Callithrix jacchus: one gene and its partner. The protein of the gene in region 1 purifies or fractionates together with the protein of each later gene. This does not show direct contact. Links are inferred from orthologs where the notes say so. Each region holds a gene or a part of one and is shown on either strand. Other genes may lie near its edges.

The links. The genes of interacting proteins can lie anywhere in the genome.
Region 2: the proteins of JADE1 (region 1) and MEAF6 purify together in Homo sapiens (affinity purification with mass spectrometry; 5 studies listed by BioGRID and IntAct, counting the BioPlex papers as one, with this or other methods). This does not show direct contact. The link is inferred for Callithrix jacchus from reciprocal best matches to the Homo sapiens genes JADE1 and MEAF6.

The regions. Positions count from the first base shown.
Region 1 is NC_133504.1:68,419,290-68,422,935, reverse strand, and holds part of JADE1 (protein Jade-1), read left to right. Parts: coding exon 1-156; intron 157-2,016; coding exon 2,017-2,133; intron 2,134-3,646.
Region 2 is NC_133508.1:74,066,849-74,070,594, reverse strand, and holds the start of MEAF6 (chromatin modification-related protein MEAF6), read left to right. Parts: upstream 1-1,525; 5' UTR 1,526-1,533; coding exon 1,534-1,623; intron 1,624-2,745; coding exon 2,746-2,861; intron 2,862-3,746.

The sequences.
Region 1 (3,646 bases):
ATCCTCAAGGTACCAGAGGGCAGCTGGCTGTGCCGGACATGTGCCCTGGGGGTTCGGCCAAGATGTCTGCTGTGTCCCAAGAAGGGTGGAGCTATGAAGCCCACTCGTAGTGGAACCAAGTGGGTCCATGTCAGCTGTGCCCTGTGGATCCCTGAGGTAAGTGTGGTTCTTTTTTGTTGTTTTTACTTTTCTTGAGACAGGGTCTTACTCTGTCACCCAGGCTGGAGTGCAGTGAGTTGGATCATGGCTCACTGCAGCCTTGACCTCCTGGGCTCAAGTTATCCTCCCACCTCAGCCTTTTGAGTAGCTGGGATTATAGGCCTGTGTTACCAGGCCTTGCTTATTTTTTGTTTTTTTGTAGTGAAGACATCTCACTTTGTTGTTTTGGCTGATCCCAAACTCTTGGGCTCAAGCAGTCCTTTTTCCTTAGCTTCCCAAAATGTTGGGATTACAGGCATAAGCCACTGTGCCTGGCCAGGCATGGTCCTTCTTTTTTTGAGGTGGAGTCTCTCTCTGTCGCCCATGCTGGAGTGCGGTGGCGCGATCTTGGCTCATGGCAACCTCTGCCTCTTGGGTTTAAGCAATTCTCCTGCCTCAGTTTCCCAAGTAGTTGGGAATACAGGTGCATGCCACCACGCCCAGCAAATTTTTTTTCATATTTTTAGTAGTGACAGGGTTTCACCGTGTTAGCCAGGATGGTCTCAATGTCCTGACCTCGTGATCTGCCCTCCTTGGCCTCCCAGAGTGCTAGGATTACAGGCATGAGCCACCACGCCCAGCCATGCATGGCTCTTAATAGCACCTTAGCTCAGAAGGTCCTGACTTTTAACTGGGATTCGGTGAGTGGGTGGAGAACCATGCATAAATAGGCAGCATTGTAGCTGATGAGTAAAAAGACACCTTTTAATTGCTACCTTATTCCTTTGGGAAAAACTGAATCTTAAGCACACTGTCATCTTGTCATGGAATGTAAATTTGTGGAAATGTTAGCGGGAAGCAGCAGTCAGTTGGGACTGTAAGTTGGTGATGGTCAAACTTTGCCTCGCCCATCTATCTCAGCGAGCCTTCCCATCACAACACCCACTCCCTGGAGCAGACCTGCAGCACTTAACCAGCTGTGGCCTGGGTGTGTCATTCCCCAAGATCAGCTGTCCATCCTGTGTGTGGTGTGACGTACCATGAGGTACCACTGTGGTTAAAAAAACGACCACTCTTGGTCATGCTTTGGTGATTTTTATTTATACCTTTATTGTGCCTCATCCTTTTTTAATATCAGGTCTGGTCTAATTTATTTCTAGTCTTAGATCTTGACTAATAAAGTTTGCATAGCTCAGTGTGAAAATATAATTTGTGATTCAAAATCCAGTATTTTTTTTGATGTGATTTTGGTACGTTTTCCTTCCAGGGAAAATTATTTGAGGATGATTTGGATTAAGGTTTCATGATTGAGGTCTTGGTAGCACCAGGTCTTGTGGTTTGGTATTGATGGGATACAATTCGGTGATCCAGGCTGAATGCAGAGATGATGATACCTTATTTATCTTTGTAATTTCCCATCTTGAATGTAGTCATTTTTTGGACTGAAGAAAATGGTTTTCTTTGGCGAGAGATTAAAAACAGGTTATATTTACTTACCCTGTTGTTGATAGCCTATTTGAATATGTTTAAGATGGATTTTTAGTTTTGACCAACTTGTTATGGGCTAGAGATTACATGAATCTTTGTCATCAGGCACTTTGGTGAGAAGTGAAAACTCAGTTATCTCAGTGTTTTTTTTTTTTTTTTTTTTTACAAACAGGGATGTCTGTCAGATAGCGACTAGGCTCTGGGCTTGATTGTCACTGAGGTGTTCTAAGGCTTTTAAAGTAAGGGTTTGCTTTGTTCTAGGTGAGTGAGTATCCCTCGCCACTGTCTGGTAGGAGGGATGTAGGAAAGTAATGGATCTTTTAGTTTCTAACATTCATGTTCGCCTCTGATGACCTGTGCCACCCTTTCTTGTTATTTTCCGACCTTTAGGTGAGCATTGGTAGCCCAGAGAAGATGGAGCCCATCACCAAAGTGTCGCACATTCCCAGCAGTCGGTGGGCGCTAGTGTGCAGCCTCTGCAATGAGAAGTTTGGGGCCTCTATTCAGGTAATTAGCTTCATAAGAATGGCTTCATTTTCCTTTCCTGCATGGTAGGGAGCAGGATGAGGGAAGGCTATGTGACCTCTCCAAGGGTTTGGAAAGGGGACTAGTTCCAGGAAGCAGAATGAGGTTCCTAAGGGTTGACTTGAGCCCCAGTACGCACGCACACCTTTAATTGGCTGACTGTATCTGGTGTAACCAGAACCCAAGCTTTCACAGTCACAGGGTAATTGAGAAGTTCCCTTGAGCTGGGAGGTGGTTCTAGTTTGTTTCTCGCTCCCCACTTTCTGCCCAAAGCATCACAGCTTCTTTCCACAGGCAGACACCTCCTAGGAGTCTTAGTGAGATGTTCCTTGACATGGCATTTTAGAGTTGGCCACCCTCCCACCTGCAGTCACCAAGAATAGCTGCAGATGGTGGCCCATCTCTGTGGCTGCCTCCTGAGACTGCAGGTTTCCACAGTGTGCACACACCTGTTAGTAATCAAGGGGACATGTTGATGCATTTGCATTTGGAAAAACAAGAGACTCTTTGAACACCTGGGTAGAGGGGCATCCATGAGGTGCTCCTGTGTATGCTGGCATCTGATTGGATCATAATCTGGATATCTGATTCTTCATGGCACTGCATGCATGAGTGTGTGTATGAAAGAGCACTTGCACACCTCTGTGTAAACGTGTTGCCTGTCTGCGTTTGCATGTCCACGTACAGACAAGTGTGGGATGTCATGAGATAGGGAAATTAAGGAGGCAATATAGATGGCATACTGTTGTTCATGTGGCCTAAAACTCGACCTGAGAAGTTCATTTCTAGGCCTCATGTTATTGATTGACATCAAGACAGTCAGGATTAGAGAGGCCTGCAGTGCTGTGTGTGGCTGATGGGGGGACCTTCAGGTTAAGTTTGGATCTTTTGGGATATATCAGCACAGGCCCCAGGCTCTTCTTTGGTTTCCTCATTGAATTCTGGGAGTAGAGGCACTGGAATGGCTTCTCTCTGAATGCAGAAAAAACAGCAGCTCAGTACAGACATAAGCTCCAAGAGCATAGTCATACTGTGTCAGCCATTTGTTTTAAAGAAATGACCTCATTTGGCAAAGTCAGTTTGTATTTTGGCTGATAAATACTTCTTTCAGTAAGGCGGTCTTAAAATTTTTTCATTTTTTAACAAGCCCAGTGGTTCTATTTTCTTTATCGCTTCGACTGGTGTTCAAGAATCCAAAGTATAAGAGAAAAATATTTGGAGGGTGGGTCATGAGACAGCTGGTGGGATTTGGCTGGGTACCTTGGAAATAGTGGAGATATTTTTGGCATTTTGAATACATGATAAACACCTCTGCCCAAGAGTTGGATTGGGGAAGGAGAGTGGAGCTGGAAGAGAAAAGGGGGAGAGCCGATATACTTGTGTGTGTGTGAGTATGCATGTGATTATGCATGTGTATGTGTGAGTCTGCATGTATGTACATGTATTTGTGTGGTTATGCATGTGAGTATGCATGTATGCATATTTAATGATGTAT
Region 2 (3,746 bases), on another chromosome or scaffold:
AGATGGCAGGTTACAAGATCCACACACAAAGCCAGTTACTCAGAATGTAGCACAGAGAGACAAAAGGTTGGAAAATACAGACGGTAGGTTAAAAATAAAGGCTTCTTATGTTCGAATTCCAGAAGGAGAGAGAAAATGAGACAGGCGTCTGAAGAAAAATGACTGCAATTTCCCAAAACGGGTGGAAGATACCAACCTACAGATCATAGAAATCTAAAGACTTCCAAGCAAGACACAAAACAAAAGAAGAAAAAATATCCCACTTAGACTTATGATAGTGAAATCGCAGAACAGTGAAAGATGGAGCGCTGAGGTGGGAGAAGTTGAGGGTCAAGTGAAACGATTTACACCTTGGATTTAACAATAAAAGCAAACTTGTACTTGCAGTTTGGTACCTGCCAAACCTCTTACACAGATTAGGTGATTTACTCCTCACAGCAACTGTATTAGGTATATTCTATTACGTCTCTCTTTTCTTTCTTTCTTTCTCTCTTTCGATGGGAGTTTCAGTCTTGTTGCCCAGGCTGGCGTGTGATGGTGCGATCTCAGCTCACTGCAACCTCCACTTCCCAGATTCAACCAATTCTCCTGCCCCAGTCTCCCGAGTAGCTGGGATTCCAGGCATGCGCCACCACGCCCGGCTAATTTTTTGTATTTTTTAGTAGAGACGGGGTTTCAACATGTTGGCAAGGCTGGTTTAGAACTCCTGACCTCAGGTGATGGGATTACAGGTGTGAGCCGCCGCGCCCCGCCTACTGCTTTCATTCTACAGATGAGGGAGTTGAGATTTGGTTACTTGCCCAAAAGGGCACACTTTATCGATGTAGAGGTAGGTAGTTCTTGCTCTAGTTTTGTGCCCTTAACCACTACACATACTTGTCTCTCCAAAGGGCAATGGGAAAATGGGAAGGCACTGAAAGACTTTAAACTGGGGAGTGATAACATTTGTTTTTGGAAGATCCCGGCACCACTGCGGGTACTGGATTCAATGGAGCTAAGGGTGGAAAAAAAGAAACTGTTGGAATAGTGTAACCCCAAACAGGGAGGGCCTGAATGACCTAGGGAGGTGGCAGAAGGGGTAGGCACAAGCAAATGGACTTGCGAGCTCTTTCAGAACCGAGAACATAGGGGTTGAGCTGGGATCACGTTTAACTCCGGGTGGACAGTGAGGATAACCAGGTTTCTGACGCGGACAATTCGGCGGATAGTGCAAGTCATTCACAAGGTGGAATGAGGTGGGGCGCACAGGGGACTTCAAGGCCTGAGGACGAGCTCGGCTTTGGACACGGTAGATGTGCGGTTTCTGTAAAGCCGGCGGCCAGCCGAGGGGCAAGAAACGGCGCAAAGGGTCGAGACCAGAGGGCCAAGTCTGTGGAACTCTCGGGGCAGGATGTTCGAGAGTCCCCGCGGGAGCGCGCCGCCGCGCGGGTTTCCGGAAGCCGCGCGCGCAGGCGCAGTGCGAGGGGGCGCCCCCTGGTGGCGCAGGGACCGCCCCCAGCCTCGCGCCGCTGCCGCCGCCCGCCTCAGCACAACATGGCGATGCACAACAAGGCGGCGCCGCCGCAGATCCCCGACACCCGGCGGGAGCTGGCGGAGCTCGTGAAGCGGAAGCAGGAGCTGGCGGTGAGGGGTTGGGACCGGGGTTGCCCGGTATGGGGCCCCGCTCCTGCCCTGCCTCCAGGCCCCAAGCCTGGTCGCGCAAGGCCGTTCGTTACTCAGGGGGCGCGCCGCGGCGGGCCGGGAGCTCGGCGGCCTAAGGCGGTTTGCGCATTCCGCGGCCGGCAGTTCGGCTTCCGGGCTGTGCAAATCCGGAGCGGGAAGGGAGCCGGGAGCCCGGAGCGCGGGAGGGGGAGGGGCACCGGCAGCCGCAGGAGGGGGCGTGGAGGAGGATGGTGCCGGGGCTCGGGGCTCGGGCGTTAGGAAGGGCGAGCGTCCGTGAGCCGCGGTGGTGGGCGAAGCGGGCGAGTCCGTGATCTTTGCGGGGTGTGGGGTGGGGCAGGTCGGGGAGGGGGTTCCAGTCACCCTGTCTGGACTTTAGAGGATGGTGGGGAGCGTGTTCTTTTTGGTTCTAGGAGTAGATCCGTTGAATGGAGGTTTTTGATTGATAGGGATGTGATGTGTTTGGGAGCATCTAGAAGGTGACAGGCTAGGGAAAAAAGAACATATTCTGGAGAATTCGCAATGGTGACAGGCACCCAGGATCCCATGCACCCTGGTGGCTAATCTCTTCCTGCCCTCGAGTCTCAGCTTGAGCACCCGGGAGGCCCCTCTCACCTGAAGCTGCCCTTCCAGGTTTCCATAGCAACTGGCAGTCCAGTGCCGGCGGCCTCTCTGAGCCTGTGAGAGGGGAGCAGGGGAGGGGGTTGACGCTGAAAGGCTGCTCACCCTCCCCTCCCCTGGTAGCGATACCTTTTGTGCGTGGGAGTGGACATCGCCCAAGTTCTGCCTTAGCCTGGGTTCTTGACTCCGGATTTCTGTGAACCCTCCGAAGTATATGCAACATTTCGCGTGTGTGTGTGTTTTTCTGGGGACATGTTTTATACATTCAGGGGTCCGTCATCCCTAAAGGTCTAGACTGGCTTAGAGTCCTAAATGTCCTGCCCGTCACCGTATCATCAATCTCTCCACAAGGGTAGCATGGGCAAGCTTGCGTTTACAAATCTAATATCAGGATTTCATTTGGGTTGAGACTTAAGTGTTTGCATTTACAAGACATTATTCATGTCCCTGTTTTTCATCTCTCAGGAAACACTGGCAAACTTGGAGCGACAGATCTATGCTTTTGAGGGAAGCTACTTGGAAGACACTCAGATGTATGGCAATATTATTCGTGGCTGGGATCGGTATCTGACCAATCAAAAGTGAGTGTCGGAAGCCTGTAGTGTTCCTATTGTGCTTTAGTAACGTTGGTTTGCAGGACTGCATGCTCTTAGTAGCAACTTTGCTACTAAGTGGTGGTGTGGTCTGGACTTGAACTCTTGGACTCTGGGTCCTGCCTCACTGAATAATCTTAGACAAAGCTCACATGTGTAAAATAGGAAAAGTGGGCCTATGGCACAGGGTGGTTGTGTCAGGCTTAAATGAAATAAAGCATATGACTGTATCTTACACAGCAGCACTCTATTACATTTTTTTTTTTTTTTTTTTTTAATCCTGCCTCAGGTTTATTTGTACAAATAGCACAGGAGGACCCCAGCCCCATGCAGATGGCAGCCCCAGGGGAGTTACACCAGTCCTTCTGTCCTCGCATTGGCAGACAAAGATATCTATTCTGAAGCCTTTGTAGGGGCCTGGGCACCTTTGAGAGCCTGAGCTGGAACTGAAACTGGAGCTGAAGCCTGGACCTTGGTTTGATCCTTGGCCTTGGCCTTGACCTTGACCTTTGGCCGGCAGAGCCTGAGCCCCTTGGCAATGCGTGCCCGAGCACGCTTCCCAAGCTTGGGGTGGGCAATGTAGGCAAGTCGATCGAGCTTGCGGCTGACACCCTTTGGGATCTTGGGCTTAACCTCCTTGGGCTTTACGAGGGCCTTGATGGCCTCAGCTCGTGCACTCATGGCCTTGGCATTGTTGGCCTGCATCTTCTTTAGGCCCTTCTTGTTGTGCTTCTTGGCAAAGCGCATGTTCCTCAGGAACTTGGGGTCCACCCCCTTAAGAGACTCGTATCTTTGTGATCAGGGTTTCTTGATACCATTTCTGTGCCATTTTCGGGACTGGTTGTGTGTGGTGTGGTTCTTGGACTTGGCCAT